Oryzias latipes: one gene and its partners. The protein of the gene in region 2 interacts with the protein of the main gene of each other region in a pairwise test. Links are inferred from orthologs where the notes say so. Each region holds a gene or a part of one and is shown on either strand. Other genes may lie near its edges. The genes, in order: dcp1a, pnrc2, esr1 and estrogen-related receptor gamma type 1.

Region 1 (2,457 bases), on a different chromosome or scaffold from region 2:
TTTCTGTAGTGCAAGGTATTCAAGTTATATAAGGCCAATCAAATGCCTCAATAAAGTGTGGTGCTTACTGGCCCCCGCGTCTAACGTTCCAAACATTTGACGGTTTTCATGAAGCCCATCCTGCTTTCAAGTGGTAGGGGTGTGGACTTCCAACAAGCTCACTCTTGATTGGTGAGAGTGGTTGGCATAGAAACGCTGACTAAGACCAATCGCTTCTTACTGACATTGTCTGGCTTCAACATGGCAGCGTCCACATCGTGAAAAAATGGCCACTTCATTTCATTGGAGCTGGAAGTAAGTACGGTGAAAGTCCAGACATTTTTGAAAAAAAATTAATAATAATCAAAAAGTTATTATTCTTTTTTTTTAATCTAACAGGAACTAAAGCTTTCCTGTAACATTCTCCAATATTTTTTTTATCACCGTGTGATACAGGAGAAGGTTCTGACCCTCCCAACATCACACTTTCTGTCAAATACCACTGGGTTACCTTGATGAGATGAATCAAAGTCTCCTGGAGCTGAGTTCTACTGCAGGCGGTTGGGAGAGAATCTAAAGCTCCTCCAGATGCTGAAGACGGCTCAGAGGCCGCAGGAGGGACCGCTGGCGCTGCTGTTGAGGGGTTTTTATTGACATTCTGCTGGAAAACACTCGGAGAGAGAAGCACTGAGATCTCTGACCCTGGAACGGCTGGACCTGGACTCATGGGGAGAGTCTGCAAACACAAAGACAGCTCTCTGCTTGTATGTTGAGGGGAGAAAGGTAGAGAAGACTCATTGATGAGTTTAGCAAACAAATCGGGACTTACAGACATGGGCTTAATGAGGTTTGGAGGCTTAGAGAAAAAGTCCATGTTGTGTTCCTGGAAGCTGTGGGGTGGAACCAAAGTGTTTGGGATGAAGTTGGGTGCAAGCATGGGCTTGTGGACGTCTGAATTCATAGAAGGGATCACAGGTTTGATTGAATCCAGTATTTCCTTTCTCAAAAAGGCTGTGGAAGGCGTTGCAGGGTCGGTCAGACCAGACGATGCAGCGAGGTGCTCCGAACCAGCTGAAGGCATCATCAGAGGAGGGACCGAACAGTGGGATTGAGAATCGGGCCGTGGGACCACATGCTGTAAAACCGGACCGGGGTTCATTGCATAAGGAGAAGGGATTAGATTAGGGGCTTGTTGTTGCCGGCGTGACCCGGGATCGTGGCCTGTGAGGAGCGGACTTTGATGAACTGAAACAGGATACGCTGGTTTCTGCACAAAAGCAGGGAGGTCACTGGAAGAAGTGGATTCCTGCGCAGCTTTGTTGAAGAGAGAGGTTTCCTTAGGCAGAGACGATCCAAAGAGTTCTTCAACTGTGATCTGCTTCACCACTGTATGAGAACTCTGATGAGAGCAGGAGAGCAACTCTGTTAACCAAGCAATCAACTGACCGACACAGAACTAATGAAGATAGATGTGCTTTCAGTTTACTGATCACCCAAATGTCAAATGGCTTGTGGTCCCAAAATCTCACTTACTTACGGTTCTCACTAAGCCTGTGCGATGCACATACCTTTTCGGGTGACGCTGCTCTGTGTGGATGTTCCACTTTAACACTTGTGTCAACAGACATCTCCGATTCCCCTGCCTGGGCCTTCGTCACATTTGAAAATCAAGCAAAATGCAGTTAAAATTGGCCTCATCTTACCCGTTAAAGTCCACTAGAACTAAAAATAACACCCCAAGAAGACCACTTAAAACAAAGTAGTCGACATTTTAAAAATGAAAGTTAAGTTAAAGGTGAAACAGAGTAAGACTTTATTTGTAATTACTCTTTGGTATTCCTCCTTGGCCTTGCTAAGCAGCTCCAGGATGTCAATAGGTTTCGTTTCGGTGATCCCATTGGTTCTTGCGGCCTCCGTCCTCTCTGGGGTCTTTCTCTGAGCATGGTCTGCTTCCTGTTTCACGATCCTGAAAGAGACTCAACTATAAACGTCCCGTACAGCACTGTTTGTATCATTTCAAACTTTTCATTTGGTTCCTTGGTACATTTACACGTCTGAAATACTAATGCAAATAGGATTTTGAATTCACCTACAGTTTTACCTCATTAATAAACTAACTTATTGGGTACATTTCAGCTCACTTACTTGAGCATCAGCTGAGCTATGCGCCGACAGTCCCTCTTGTCATAGAACCAAATACTGTAGATGCCCACTAGAAGAAATATAGAAACAGACATTCTGTTAGGTAAAGCAGTAATGCAAAAAAATAACCCCAAAAGGCTGTGAATGATTAATTTAATCATTAGTTCTCAACAACAACAAGATCAAATATTAAAGCTTACTTAATAATCCTAAAGTTTAAACATCTGTTTGAATAAAATGGGTAAAAAAACTGATAGAATAAAAGAAGTTCACAGAATTCTTCCAAGAACCAGATGTGGAAAACTAAAAACTGAAGTTTATGAAAGGACTTTGATC
Region 2 (4,044 bases):
AATACCAACTCTTTGTTTTGTCTTATTTATGTTGGCTGTAAAAACCTTCCATTCTGCAAAGGAAAAAAGATCCTAAAGTGAGGTCCGAAGCACAAAAAAACAAGAATCAAAGTCCTTTTGCATCACAAAGTCAACAAAATCGTCTCTGCTGCTTGTGGGTAAGAGTCTGATTGCAGTGCAAGGGGTTAGACAAAAGACAGGCAACAACACTTCCATGAACAGTCAGTCTCTGAGGCAGAATTTGTAAACACAAAGACCGTCTAACGTTGGACCCCTGAAGCCACTTCTCCAAAATAAACCTCCTTAGCTCACCTCGTCCCAAGCTAAGGCATGCAGCCAAACAGGACAAGTCAATGACATGGTCCTCTTCCGCAGGTTTAGAAGCATGCCTTGCGCTGACAAGACCTGAAGCTTAAAGGCAGTAACAGTACTGATTGGAACAGAAAGTAGCCAAGTGACTGTATCTCATTCACCAACGGGGCTGGCAAAAAACAAGAAGTTAGGAGGAAAAAAAGCCACAAGGTTGTTGATAAAGAACGAAATACAGCAACACATTGCTTTGGTTACAGAGATTAAAACGGTTTTCAACCAAAACAAAAGTAAAATAATGCTTTGATAAGAGTGTTGCAGACCTTAGGCACGCCAAACTCCCATAGTGCATGTGCGCACAGCGCAGTAAAGAAAGGATACAGGAGTTTGGGGTCTACGGCCCATGTGCCATTGTCTCTTACCCTTTGAGGCCACCTCTTCCTTCCTCACTTATCTCAAAATAGCTTTTTTTTCTCCTGCAGAACTATTGAGTGTCTTTATTCCAAACAAGGAATGTAACCATCAAGAAAATTACGGGGCCCTTTAAAAAAAATGCTACAAATGTTCATGTTATTTAGCACCTGAAGCGTTTGAGTTCACTCCAAATGTTCGTCGTTAAAACCTGTACGAATGAAAGGCGTCTGTCCACAGAAATGGACTATAAAAGTAATGGACTGTTACTTAACGGATGTTACAAGCCCTGTTTTCTTATGTGGAAAAAGGTTCACTCTGTTGGCTTTTACAGCAAACACTAACAACAAAACTAAAAGTACATTTAATCCAGTTAACAGATTACAGAAATGGACTCCATTAAGGACTGCACCGACAAGTAAGGCAGCAGAGCTGTAATTAAAAATTCCATTAAAAATTTAAACACGAGTAAGCCTCTTTTGCAAATATTTCAGCCAAAAATCCAAATGTATTACAGCTCTGAAGCATTCCAAGCAGATGAGCACCTCAATAGGGTCGCAGTCTGTATATTGGCTCTTTAAGTGAAGTGTGGACGTAGCTCAGGCCTGCACTTTCAGTAGACTCTTGAGCTGGAAAGCCATCATCTCCCTGTGATCAAAGGAGCTTGACGGAAAAGAAACCCAGTGGCTTGGGGGCTTGGGCAGCACACTGGGTGATGGTGGCTCACTGAACTTGGGCCCTGCATAGCTGGGGCTGCCCTGGGCGGCCAGGAGTGTGTTGAGGTGAGACACTGCACCCTCCCAGTTCTGATCGTAGTTGGTGCCAAAACGCATGGAGGCATTTTTGTCTGCAGACACGGCCTGCCGCGCCTCCGGAGACCTGTGGTAGGCTGCGCCTTTGTCGCTCCTACGGTGGCCATGATTGTGAAGGCCCCCTAATCCTCCTGCTGAGACAGCGACTCCATTCTGGTCACGGCTTCTCTGTTTGGCCTTGACAAGCTGGTTCTTCTTTTGCCTTTCAGGGTGGGAAATTGGAATGTTGTACCTCTCGCCACCTCCCATGTTTCTGTACTATGTGTCACCTACAGGAGTAAACATATTTAAGTCTTAACTCAGGAAAAAATATTCGTGCAATGACAAGCGCCTACTGCGCATGCTCAGTTCGAACAAAAACAAGCTGAGGCGCTACGTGCAGAAACAACAGCCAGACAGGGCAGCGACGCCCCTCCCCCACTCGGCAGAAAAACAGACCCAGCTCACCTCTTTGCTGGTAGTATGTTGACGAAGCAGAGATCCTTCTTTAATCTCTCTCCACCAGTCGGTCCCCAGGTCCTCGAAGTAGTTTTCTGCCTACTTCTCGCTGCACATTTATGTCCAGCAAGGTCTGAGGTTTTCATGTGCCAATGATGAGCGATGTTTTCCCGTGAAGCCGAGCTGAACATCAATTCACCCCGGCACACGATTGTTCCGCGAAGTCGAGCTCCTAAAAGCGAAAACAAAAGCGGATTAGTGAGTAACGATACAATGTGCTAATGAAAGCGACTATGAGAATACTTTAAAATTATTTTCTGTCTTACTCGATTTGAAAAAAATGACGGGGGATGGGCGTGTAAGAAACTGCGTCATTACACAACACACAAACTACCAAAACTAGCTTATAATTAGCTTTGAACTCATTTATAAACCATAAAATCCATTTTCCATTACACACATATTACATAATAGTCACAACGGTATATGTATTTTAACATAAGCTTAAATGGTTTTATTCGATAACATAACAAAAAAATGTAAACGTTATTAGATAACATACTTGTTTCATCGAGACGACTAGAAAAGTACTTTTACGATACTGTGTCACTCTTTGGCATCGAACCAAAACAAAGAAGCTACTCAATATGGCGACGAGCCGAGGTACTAGAATCTGAGTTTTATCCTTACCGACTTCTTTAAGGCTTGGTTGTTGAAAAGCCTTTTGTCAAAAAATATACAAGTTTAGCCTCTGGAATCCTTCGGCGGACAATGTAGGAAGCAAAGCAAGCTATTTTTCCTACAAACCCATCACCGTCGAGGCTAAGGTGGTTTTATCATGAGGCGTATAACCGCCACTTCTCCTCCCGACACTCGATTGCAACAAAATGGACTCTGCCAAGGAGATAAGTAGTCTGTTCTCGCAGAAATCGAACCAATCACCTCTCGAGTACGAGTTAGGTGACCAATCAGCGTGTAGGCAAACCTACGCAGTCATGCCTGTTGCCAGACGGGTGACGTCAACCACACTTCCTCCCATTTCCTTTGGTGGAGATGGTTCGGGTATTTCCTGAGAGAAGTGAGGAATTAAACTAAACAAACGCTTCCGATAAATTAATTTGTTTTCACTCTGTATTTTTAAGAAAGAGTCCTGAAAAAATGCACAGCATGACAATCAGCATAACATTATATCGAGTCGACATGTATGTTATGTAATGCTGTGTGTTGTGGCGTAATACTTTCCATTTATTTGTTTTTTCTCAGGGAGATTCTAATGTCTACAGGTCACAACATGCCCATTTCTGAAAAACGTTTCGCTTTTACGCTGCTTTATTAACTGAAACTAGGCGTTTCAGCTTTTGTTTCACCATCACGTAGCCCATCCCCCATCTGTGTTGCGTGGTCACAAAACAAGCTGCTGTTCTTTTACTGAAAATCCTCACTTTAGCATGTTTGTCAACAAAGTGCACGTGGTAACACTGCCACAGTTTTGACCAAAACAGTAACCTGTACGTTTTCTTTTTTTTTTACAAACACAGGGGGAAATACCACACAAAGAGGCAGTTAAAAGCCAAACAAAGAAGTTCGTGTCTGTGTTTTTACTCTGAGGAAGCTAAGGACAGGTCACATTGATTTCGATTTTTTGTTTGTCTTGCTTTTGTTTAAAGTAGGAAAACATTTTCTAGAATTACTGAACTTTCCTCTATCTCGTAATCTTTGGAAAGTTTTACGTATTGTACAATTAACAAAGACAAAAGTTTATGTAACCCTTGTGCTATCCTAGGCAATTTAACATTGGGAGTTGGGTCATCTAGACCCACTAGACAGTGCTCTGAACCTTTTTTCTTCAACAATTTGTGATCTTCACTGGTGTCCATGGATTACATGAAATCTTTCCACCTTTATCCACCTTTGTCATGGTAGGAATTACACGTCAATGTAAGGGTGGGGTTATTTAAGATAGCACAAGGGTTAAAAAGAAGGCTACTTTTTAAATATGTATATAATAAATAGATTTTGGTCCTTTTATTATTTATTTTTTCTAACACAGCTCACTCCACTTTAAACACGTACA
Region 3 (4,215 bases), on a different chromosome or scaffold from region 2:
CCAGACACAAATCCATGCATTTTCATCCGCACACTTAGATGCCCTTATCTGAGAGGCACCAAAACAAACAGGATGTGTAATAATTAGTTGTACTTCTGAGATGTAAATATCTTCAGGGACGTGCTAAAGTTCAAGTTTATCTGCACCCTTGCGGAGTGTGCGTTGCAGAAAAACAAATATTGAGGGCCGCTTTCATGTAGAAAATGGTAAATGATGGGAACAAAAAAGCTGAGGCGGGAAAATCTCTTGTCAGGTGAAGTTAGTGCTCACCGCCTTTCATCATTCCCACTTCGTAACACTTCCTAAGACGACAAGCCTGGCAGCTCTTCCTCCGATTTCTGTCAATAGTGCACTGATTGGTCGCTGGGCACATATAGTCATTGTGACCTGAAATGGAGAAAAATATATTACTTTCAGCCTTCAAGTCCAATGTTCAGTTTAGATTTAGGTTATTTAGTAGCCAGGAACACTGATAAAAGAATCTGGGGAGGAGAAGATGAAAATGTGGCATCTTAGCTTTTCTATTGCCATGGAAACATTTTGTAACCTTCTGACTGATCCTTCATTACACAATTATATCGTGAACATGACTGAACCATCAAGCAGATGGAGCTTTTCTCTTCAACTGTTGTGATCCAAAAACTAACCACAAAGGCTTAAATGTGCGCTCATCAATTCTTTTGATTTAAGACTAGTCATTTCTACGATATCACAATTTATGATGATTATCAAAGTATAATTGAGAATTTTTCAGATCAGACTGATTTGACATTTTTGACAGTTTTCTAAATCCAGAAGACTTTTTAGTGTGGCTTCCTACCCTGGATGCTCCTCTTGAAGAAGGCCTTGCAGCCCTCACAAGACCACACCCCATAGTGGTACCCAGAGGCGTAGTCGCTGCACACGGCGCAGAAACGCGTGTCTTTGGCCATCTCAAACCCCCCAGCCCCGGCTCCGGCGCCTAACTCCCCCAGGCTGCACGTGTCCTCCCGGGAGCCGCACTGGTCCTCCCTGGAGGCTCCCTGGTGGCTGGATCTGCAACAGGTTGTGAATCTTAATCTGACCATTTCTGGTTCTGTGGTGCTAATAAAGGACAGAATTTGCCAAAAGATGATCAAGAACATTCTGACTAAAAATATGAAAGTGCAAAAACAGACTTGTGTTTTCCACCGGAACCAGAAAAACAAAATTCATGTGAGCCTCTGTTGTTCTTACGTATTGTTCCTCTCTCAAGGTCTCTGACAAAGTCCTTAATCTCTGGATTTAGAAAGCAGGACCAAGCTTGATCCTTTACGAAAAGATAAAGTTGTGTGTTTTGTATAAAGTGGAAGATTAAAAGGTTGTGTCATTATGTAATAATGTTTTGTTTATAAAAGCACTTGGAAGACTCAACTTTAAATGTCATTGCCATAAATTGTAAAATATCTAGTTTTCCGCCAAGGCTGCTCCTCATGTGTGACAGTGGGTGAAAAACACCCAAACTCCTTGATTTTTGTAATTAAACAAAGCAAAATAATAATCATTTTTTGGAATTCAGTACTTCCTTTTAACTCAGTCTGCCTAAACAAACAGTTGGATGAATCAGCAGAGGCTGAAACACAGACCTCTCCCCCTCATTTGTCCACTTTCATGACTCATTCGGAGCTAAACTGCCCTCACTTACCTGTAAACGGGCGTGGAAGTGGTTTCCAGATAGTGGTGGCTGGGTGGATGCATAAAGGGACTGAGTCTGGGGCTGGAGGGCACAAACACCAGAGGGCTCGTCGGCCCACTGCCCAGGGACTGCAGACTGCCTTCTGAGGGGGGTCCGTTTGTTTCCAGGGGAGCAGAGTAGTAGCCGGTGCTGGACTGGCTGTAAAGGGGAGTCGTGGCAGGGTTGGGGGCGGCATAGTCGTACGTCCCTTCCAAAAAGTCCACAGCAGCCACCCCTCCAGAACCCCGGCTCTCTTCAGGGTACATGTCACCGAGGGGGTCACGGGGCGAGAGGCGAGGTGGGGAGAGGGTCTCCAGCTCTGAGGAGGCTGGGCTGATCCTGGATCTGAGTGCTGGTCCGAACAGCTGCCTGATCTGCACCGAGCTCTGTCTGAGCAACATCACAGCACAACAGCGGCGATAAGAAGCATGATTTAGACTTGTTCTCCCATTTGCTGGGAGGGGGAGTGGAGTTCTCCTCTCCCTCTCTCTTTTTAGTCTTCCCTTTCTCTCTGTGTGGGGCTCATCTTTCTATTAATGCCTGTCAGACTACTTGGAGGGACCAGAAGATCCTTTTTCCTCGTCTCCCTAAAGCTTCAGCTCACCAAAAATAACGAAAAGGACTCCTCCCAATCTGCTGGTTTTGTCTCTCAGTATTTCCTCCAATATGTTTACACTCAAGTGTGGGAGTCACAAGTGGGAGAGAGAGGAAAAGAAAGGAATGTCAGGGAATAGTTATTCCTAAACTTCCCTGTCTCCTTCCACCTCGTTTGTCTAAAGCAAAGCTTTCCCCGGCTGTCGTGTGGTTTCCAGAAACTACAAACCAACAGAGCGACTCTGAATAATCAGCTTTTATTAGCAGAGGATGCGGCGTTAGTGGTGAGATGGCCAAAACACAACCAAGACTGCACTCAACCTAATTACTGGGTAAATAAAAGCAGGGATGCTTTGAAACAAAAAGGCTTAAAAAAGAAAAAAAAGAAAAGAAGAACTGCAAAATCAAGCATGAGACACCACTCACCTCTTACTCATGAATCATCCTCAGATGTGCTGCGCAACACGGGCTGCTTCCTCTCTGCCTGCCTGACAGGCATCTAGCAGCGAGACGGGCAGCTTCGGTGGAACCAGTGGAAAGGTTTGAAAAAGGATAAACAAATTAAAGATGCAGCCAAATCAATAACCATGGTGTGTTTAAGTGCCAGGTCACCATAACACAGCAAACAAAGCAGGGGGTCAAATCTCAATCTGACAGCCAACAATTACACAATCAATTCCAAATAAGGAAATTAATGGGGATTTTAAATGCAGAAAAAGAGGAAAAAAAGATAATAAACACAAAAAAAAAGGTTTGGTCAAAGGGGAAGTGGCAAAACATTTCCACTAAAGCCAAATTGCTGATGCCATAGATTTCTGGAAAAAAATAGTATTTACACTTTAAAGTTTTTTTTGTGTGTACTTGAATTACTAGGAAAGAAAAATGGACTTGAAATTCTTCCAGGAAAATTAGATTTGAATAATATTAACATAAAAATGGGGGGGGGGGCTAAAATAAAGCTGATTTTATCAAGATATGATCTTCTTATATGTTAGAATAAACATGAGCATGCTCGACTGCTGAAGGGGGGAACAAAAGCCCTCCTCCTCGTTCCTGTCCGGACTCTTTCTTGAACAAACAGCCCAATTTTCAAGACATGTTGGGGTCAAGTGGGAAACAAGTAGTCTTGATGATGATATGGATCATTTTGCATTTTTCCTAGAATAAAATTGATGACAGCAACACCAGGAAACAGCAAAAAATGACTGGTTGGGAAGCAAACGTATCCAGCAAATCACCAAAAATGGCTTTAGCACGCCTCTTAGAATAATTGACCTCATTTTCGTGACGGACCACCTTCACAAAGTACGACAATTATACCCCTCGTTCATTCAGAATTGTAATGCACATGTTGCAGCATTTCCAACTGTTTCGTTTACAGGTTTTTAAAGTCCGACCTGACCTGAATGCAACAGGTCAACATGCGAGAGCAGAAAAATAAAGACAAGATGCCCCACTCTTAGTTTCATCTATTTATTACCTTTTTCATCTGTTCAGGTTTATTACAAGTGTGTGTTTTATTTGAGCGCAGACAGGCGTCAGGATGGACTCCAGATTTTGGCCAGGGAGATTTAAAGCTTTAATCCAAACCATTCAGATTAAAAATCAACACCCAAACCTTCCTCTGATCTTTACTTTGAAATCAAACTTTCAGGCAAATCTGCCTTCATAATAAAAAAAATCCAGCAGCAAGATAAAATCGGAATATGGGTTTAAAAAACTTCAGAAACTTTTCTTTTATTGATCAAATCGGAGCTCCTGTTTGAGCATTTGGCATTACTGAAGTCTTTAGATTCACTTTACTGCAAGTGATCAGACTTGTGTAAATATTTGGAATGTTTTTCGCCATTCTAGATAATGCTGCCATGTTTTCAGTTCTTCTTTGCCAACTTTTAATCTCTAGTTTCCGTGGAGCGGCCCGCTTCCAA
Region 4 (3,568 bases), on a different chromosome or scaffold from region 2:
CATGAGAGGTATAAAAATAACAACTAAAATGAAATATGTCAACATGGTAGCTCGGACATAGATGTGCAAACTAACACACACAATGGCATCAAACAGATCTATACAGTGTAATGCATGTATCAGTATGCAGGACCAGGCTGGTTAGTGGGCTGGATTCTGAGGGGATCAATAAATAACTCAGCTTTCATTTGTTTTTAAATTTCCTGGTTGTTGTTTTTTTTTCACACTGTGCTTGATGAAGTGAGATGCTAAGAGCGAAAGAAAAAAAAAAGTATATTGTAATAAACAGATTAAATAAAATCTATTGATTTTCTTTTTTCACTCTAGGGTGGTTTTCTGCGCAGGGAGGGAAGGTTAAGCCGCGGTAAATAAAATCCACCTGTTGTTTATTTGTTGTGGGTTTAAACTGGTAGAAATGTCTTTGGTCTGTTTTGAAATTCACTGAACTGTCATGAGTTAAACAGCAGAACACTAATGAGCACAAGCATGTCAGACTGTTAAAGCACACATGCTAACAGAGCAGCGTGCATAAACTCACATGCACAAAAACAAGCACACACCTCCCGTTTCCCATGGTTAGTTTAACTTTCTTTACATGTGGGGCACGTTTTCTAACATTTCTTAAGGCTTGGCTTCATTAATGCAGACGATTAGCATCCTGTGAATTAATTAGTGTCAGTGCCCTTCAAAATGCTAATGCTAGCATTCTGTTGTCTTGAAAAGCCAGCTGAGTGGGTTACATGGTTTGCGCTGCATTTAGGCTTTAGTTGTTTTGATTTAATCACTTAGAAGGTAAAGCAGTTTAAATGCAGAGTAGTTCAGCTACATGTCAATTTCACTAATTTACATGAAGTTTTTTTAAGTGTATTTGTGTAGTAAGATGAATGAACTGTGTATTTTCTGTATCCTTTTCAATTCTTATTTTTATTTCTTTATATAAAATATGAAAGTACAGTTTCAATAAAATTAATTTCCTTTTCTCAGAACATAAATGATAGTGAAGTTCGAAATAAAAGCCAAATTAAGTGATTGTTTTGTTTCAAATTTGTTCAAAATTACAGTCCCAGTCCTCCACATGTGATGACTGACATTATGCTGGTGGTGGTGGCAGCAGAATGAAAAGCTTCTCCCTTCCCATTAAAATCTCGTATTGCATTCTTCCATTTAAACACATTGTATTGACAGCTCCCCCCTTGTAATTAAAGAGTACTGAAGAGCTGGCTGGCTTCCAAGACAAAGTTCAAAAGACGGGTCATGAGAGGAAGAGTAGGTGTGTGTGTGAGGGACTGCGTGTCAGTCAGCTGTCAATGCAGCTGGACACATCACAGAGCGGCTTGTATCGACAGGTTTTGGGATCTAATGATTTCTCCTTATTTAACAGGCATCTAAAGGGACGGCTATGTTAATTTTAAAAGGGACTGCCGCTTTGTTTGGGGGTGGGATTCAGATTGAATGTGTTCCTGCATGTTTGTACCGCATCCTTGCATTCAAAGGGAAATAAAAAGAAAGAGAACTGTTTGAGCTGTTAAAATATTTCCATCAATATTTACTGTGCTGTAGAAGCTTCTGAGAGCGTGTGTGGATGCAGACTACTGAAATCAGTCTTCTGATGGCTCAGCTTAAATGAGCCCCACGGGATTGGAGATTCCTAGGATTAACTCTCCTCTATCAGTCAAACACAAGCACGCACGGACAAAAACAGCTGAGAGTGAAGAGTTTCAAACCTGAATTAGCCAAAGCAATGGCCTTTAAAGTGACAAATTCCTCTTTCTCTAGCTTCATGGATTTGTATTTCTTGACCAGCTGAAGGATGGCGTTGTTTAGGTCCAGCAGTCCGGCTAGTTTAGACTGATCCTCATCCATTATGTAATCCTCAGCATACACCAGCTAAAGGAATATTGGAGACAAGTTGAGTTTGCAGATCAAACTAGGACTTGCATAAAGTTCAAAAGAAACCTACTTTGTCTTCAAATGACAGCGAGCGATACACAACACGCAGGATCAAGATCTCCATCCATGCACTCTGCAGTAGACTCATCTGGTCTGCCAAAGACAGTGTGGAGAAACCTGAGAAAGAGAGAAAGAGAGCAAAGGACAGGCATTATTAATTTATGCATTCAACAAGAAGCAAACTGGTAAATAGGGGGCATTTCTTTACTCTGGGTAAAAAACAAGACAAAGAAAACAGTAAAGCTTGTTCCAAAGCAAGTAAGGGGGTCAAGGTCGACTTCTCTCTTTCCCCTCCCACCTCTCATCCATCCACCTGACCAGAGTCCTTCTCCTCTGTCTGCTTCTTTCCGCTCTCCCATGTGCCCTGGGCTATTCTCTGAGGGAAGCAGGCCTTATCTCCTTCTGCCAAACCTCCATGAATCAATGCTGGCCATTGCTGCTGCGCTCTTAGAAAACACACACTCATTTCTCCTATGGCCTTAAACCTACTGGTTTCTTTGGTGTCAATCCATGTCCTTCCATTTGCTTATCAGACTTTTCCTTCAGTCGCAATCTATAACTCTATCTATAATTCTTGTCTTATTTTTTAAATCTAAAAAAATTACTTTTTTTTCACTTGGATCACTTTATTGCGACTCTCACATATATTGTCCATCTTTACCTTCCTGTTTCTTTAATGGAACACCTGCCCACTCACACCTCTCCTCACAGCTGTCCTCTGCTCGCACACCTGTCCATTCACACCTGCCTGCCTGCCCATATGTGTGTCTGAGTGCAATCCTTAACAGCCACACGGGCCATGTGTTTAAAAATGCAAAGACAGTGGGCCGTGCAAGCACACCTGTCAGACCTTGCAGAGGTTCTTCAGTATGTGTTTGTGTGAGGAACATTCTGCCAGAAGAGGCAGATAGATGAGAGAGAGAAGATATTTCTCCCACAACATCTGCGGCAAAGTGTCTCCTCTTAAGATGTGTGGCAAGTCCTACATGTGCATTAAGACCTCTTATCTCAAAATGTGTTGACAGGTAATGGCAGACGTCTAATTATGTCCAAGTTGCAAGCTATTGTTGTTTGCAATGCGCACTAATTTATTTTATCTTATACCGTTAACAATCTCCAATACACATTCACGGTACATACTCATTAGGTAAGATTTCTTGCTTAAGCATGTACACAGATATTACCACATTTATAAATAAATATAAATTCTTAGGAATTTACTGGAATGTATCTAAATTGGTTCGATGACACACAAAAATACACACATGGTAAAGTGAAGATGCCAGAGTTGTTGCCAACTGGCAGTCTTTTTTTTGGACAATGAAATAATCAAAAATGATTAGACGTGAATTTCTTAAGGAGCTCTTTATTACACATAAACACACACTTTGGTCACAGGAGCGATGGGGTTTTGAGCTCTATAGGATTGCACCACTCATAGTTGACAGGAAAATGTATACTGACATAGCTATAATTATCACGTGGGTACTTATTGATACTGTTCAGCCTGGAGGGTAAGTGAGGACAAAACATTGGTAAGGAGTAATGCTGTATAGTGATGTCCCTTGTTATGTATTCTAAATGTATATAGTCTTTTTAATTTTAAGGGCTCAGTGAT

What was found.
Region 1: the proteins of pnrc2 (region 2) and dcp1a interact in binary tests that used the Homo sapiens proteins (3 or more experiments, as listed by UniProt). The link is inferred for Oryzias latipes from reciprocal best matches to the Homo sapiens genes PNRC2 and DCP1A.
Region 3: the proteins of pnrc2 (region 2) and esr1 interact in a two-hybrid assay, tested with the Homo sapiens proteins (2 studies listed by BioGRID and IntAct). The link is inferred for Oryzias latipes from reciprocal best matches to the Homo sapiens genes PNRC2 and ESR1.
Region 4: the proteins of pnrc2 (region 2) and estrogen-related receptor gamma type 1 interact in binary tests that used the Homo sapiens proteins (3 or more experiments, as listed by UniProt). The link is inferred for Oryzias latipes from reciprocal best matches to the Homo sapiens genes PNRC2 and ESRRG.

The regions. Positions count from the first base shown.
Region 1 is NC_019865.2:7,306,215-7,308,671, reverse strand, and holds part of dcp1a (mRNA-decapping enzyme 1A), read right to left. Parts: intron 2,192-2,457; coding exon 2,125-2,191; intron 1,946-2,124; coding exon 1,807-1,945; intron 1,629-1,806; coding exon 1,548-1,628; intron 1,379-1,547; coding exon 809-1,378; intron 716-808; coding exon 491-715; intron 1-490. UniProt on the Homo sapiens protein: Necessary for the degradation of mRNAs, both in normal mRNA turnover and in nonsense-mediated mRNA decay. Removes the 7-methyl guanine cap structure from mRNA molecules, yielding a 5'-phosphorylated mRNA fragment and 7m-GDP.
Region 2 is NC_019874.2:24,069,078-24,073,121, reverse strand, and holds the start of pnrc2 (proline-rich nuclear receptor coactivator 2), read right to left. Parts: upstream 2,864-4,044; 5' UTR 2,661-2,863; intron 2,203-2,660; 5' UTR 1,980-2,202; intron 1,802-1,979; 5' UTR 1,782-1,801; coding exon 1,320-1,781; 3' UTR 1-1,319. UniProt on the Homo sapiens protein: Involved in nonsense-mediated mRNA decay (NMD) by acting as a bridge between the mRNA decapping complex and the NMD machinery. May act by targeting the NMD machinery to the P-body and recruiting the decapping machinery to aberrant mRNAs.
Region 3 is NC_019882.2:8,941,069-8,945,283, reverse strand, and holds the start of esr1 (estrogen receptor), read right to left. Parts: upstream 2,829-4,215; 5' UTR 2,725-2,828; coding exon 2,714-2,724; intron 2,084-2,713; coding exon 1,664-2,083; intron 1,036-1,663; coding exon 821-1,035; intron 388-820; coding exon 271-387; intron 1-270.
Region 4 is NC_019861.2:25,250,129-25,253,696, forward strand, and holds part of estrogen-related receptor gamma type 1, read right to left. Parts: intron 2,068-3,568; coding exon 1,961-2,067; intron 1,888-1,960; coding exon 1,725-1,887; intron 1-1,724. UniProt on the Homo sapiens protein: Orphan receptor that acts as a transcription activator in the absence of bound ligand. Binds specifically to an estrogen response element and activates reporter genes controlled by estrogen response elements.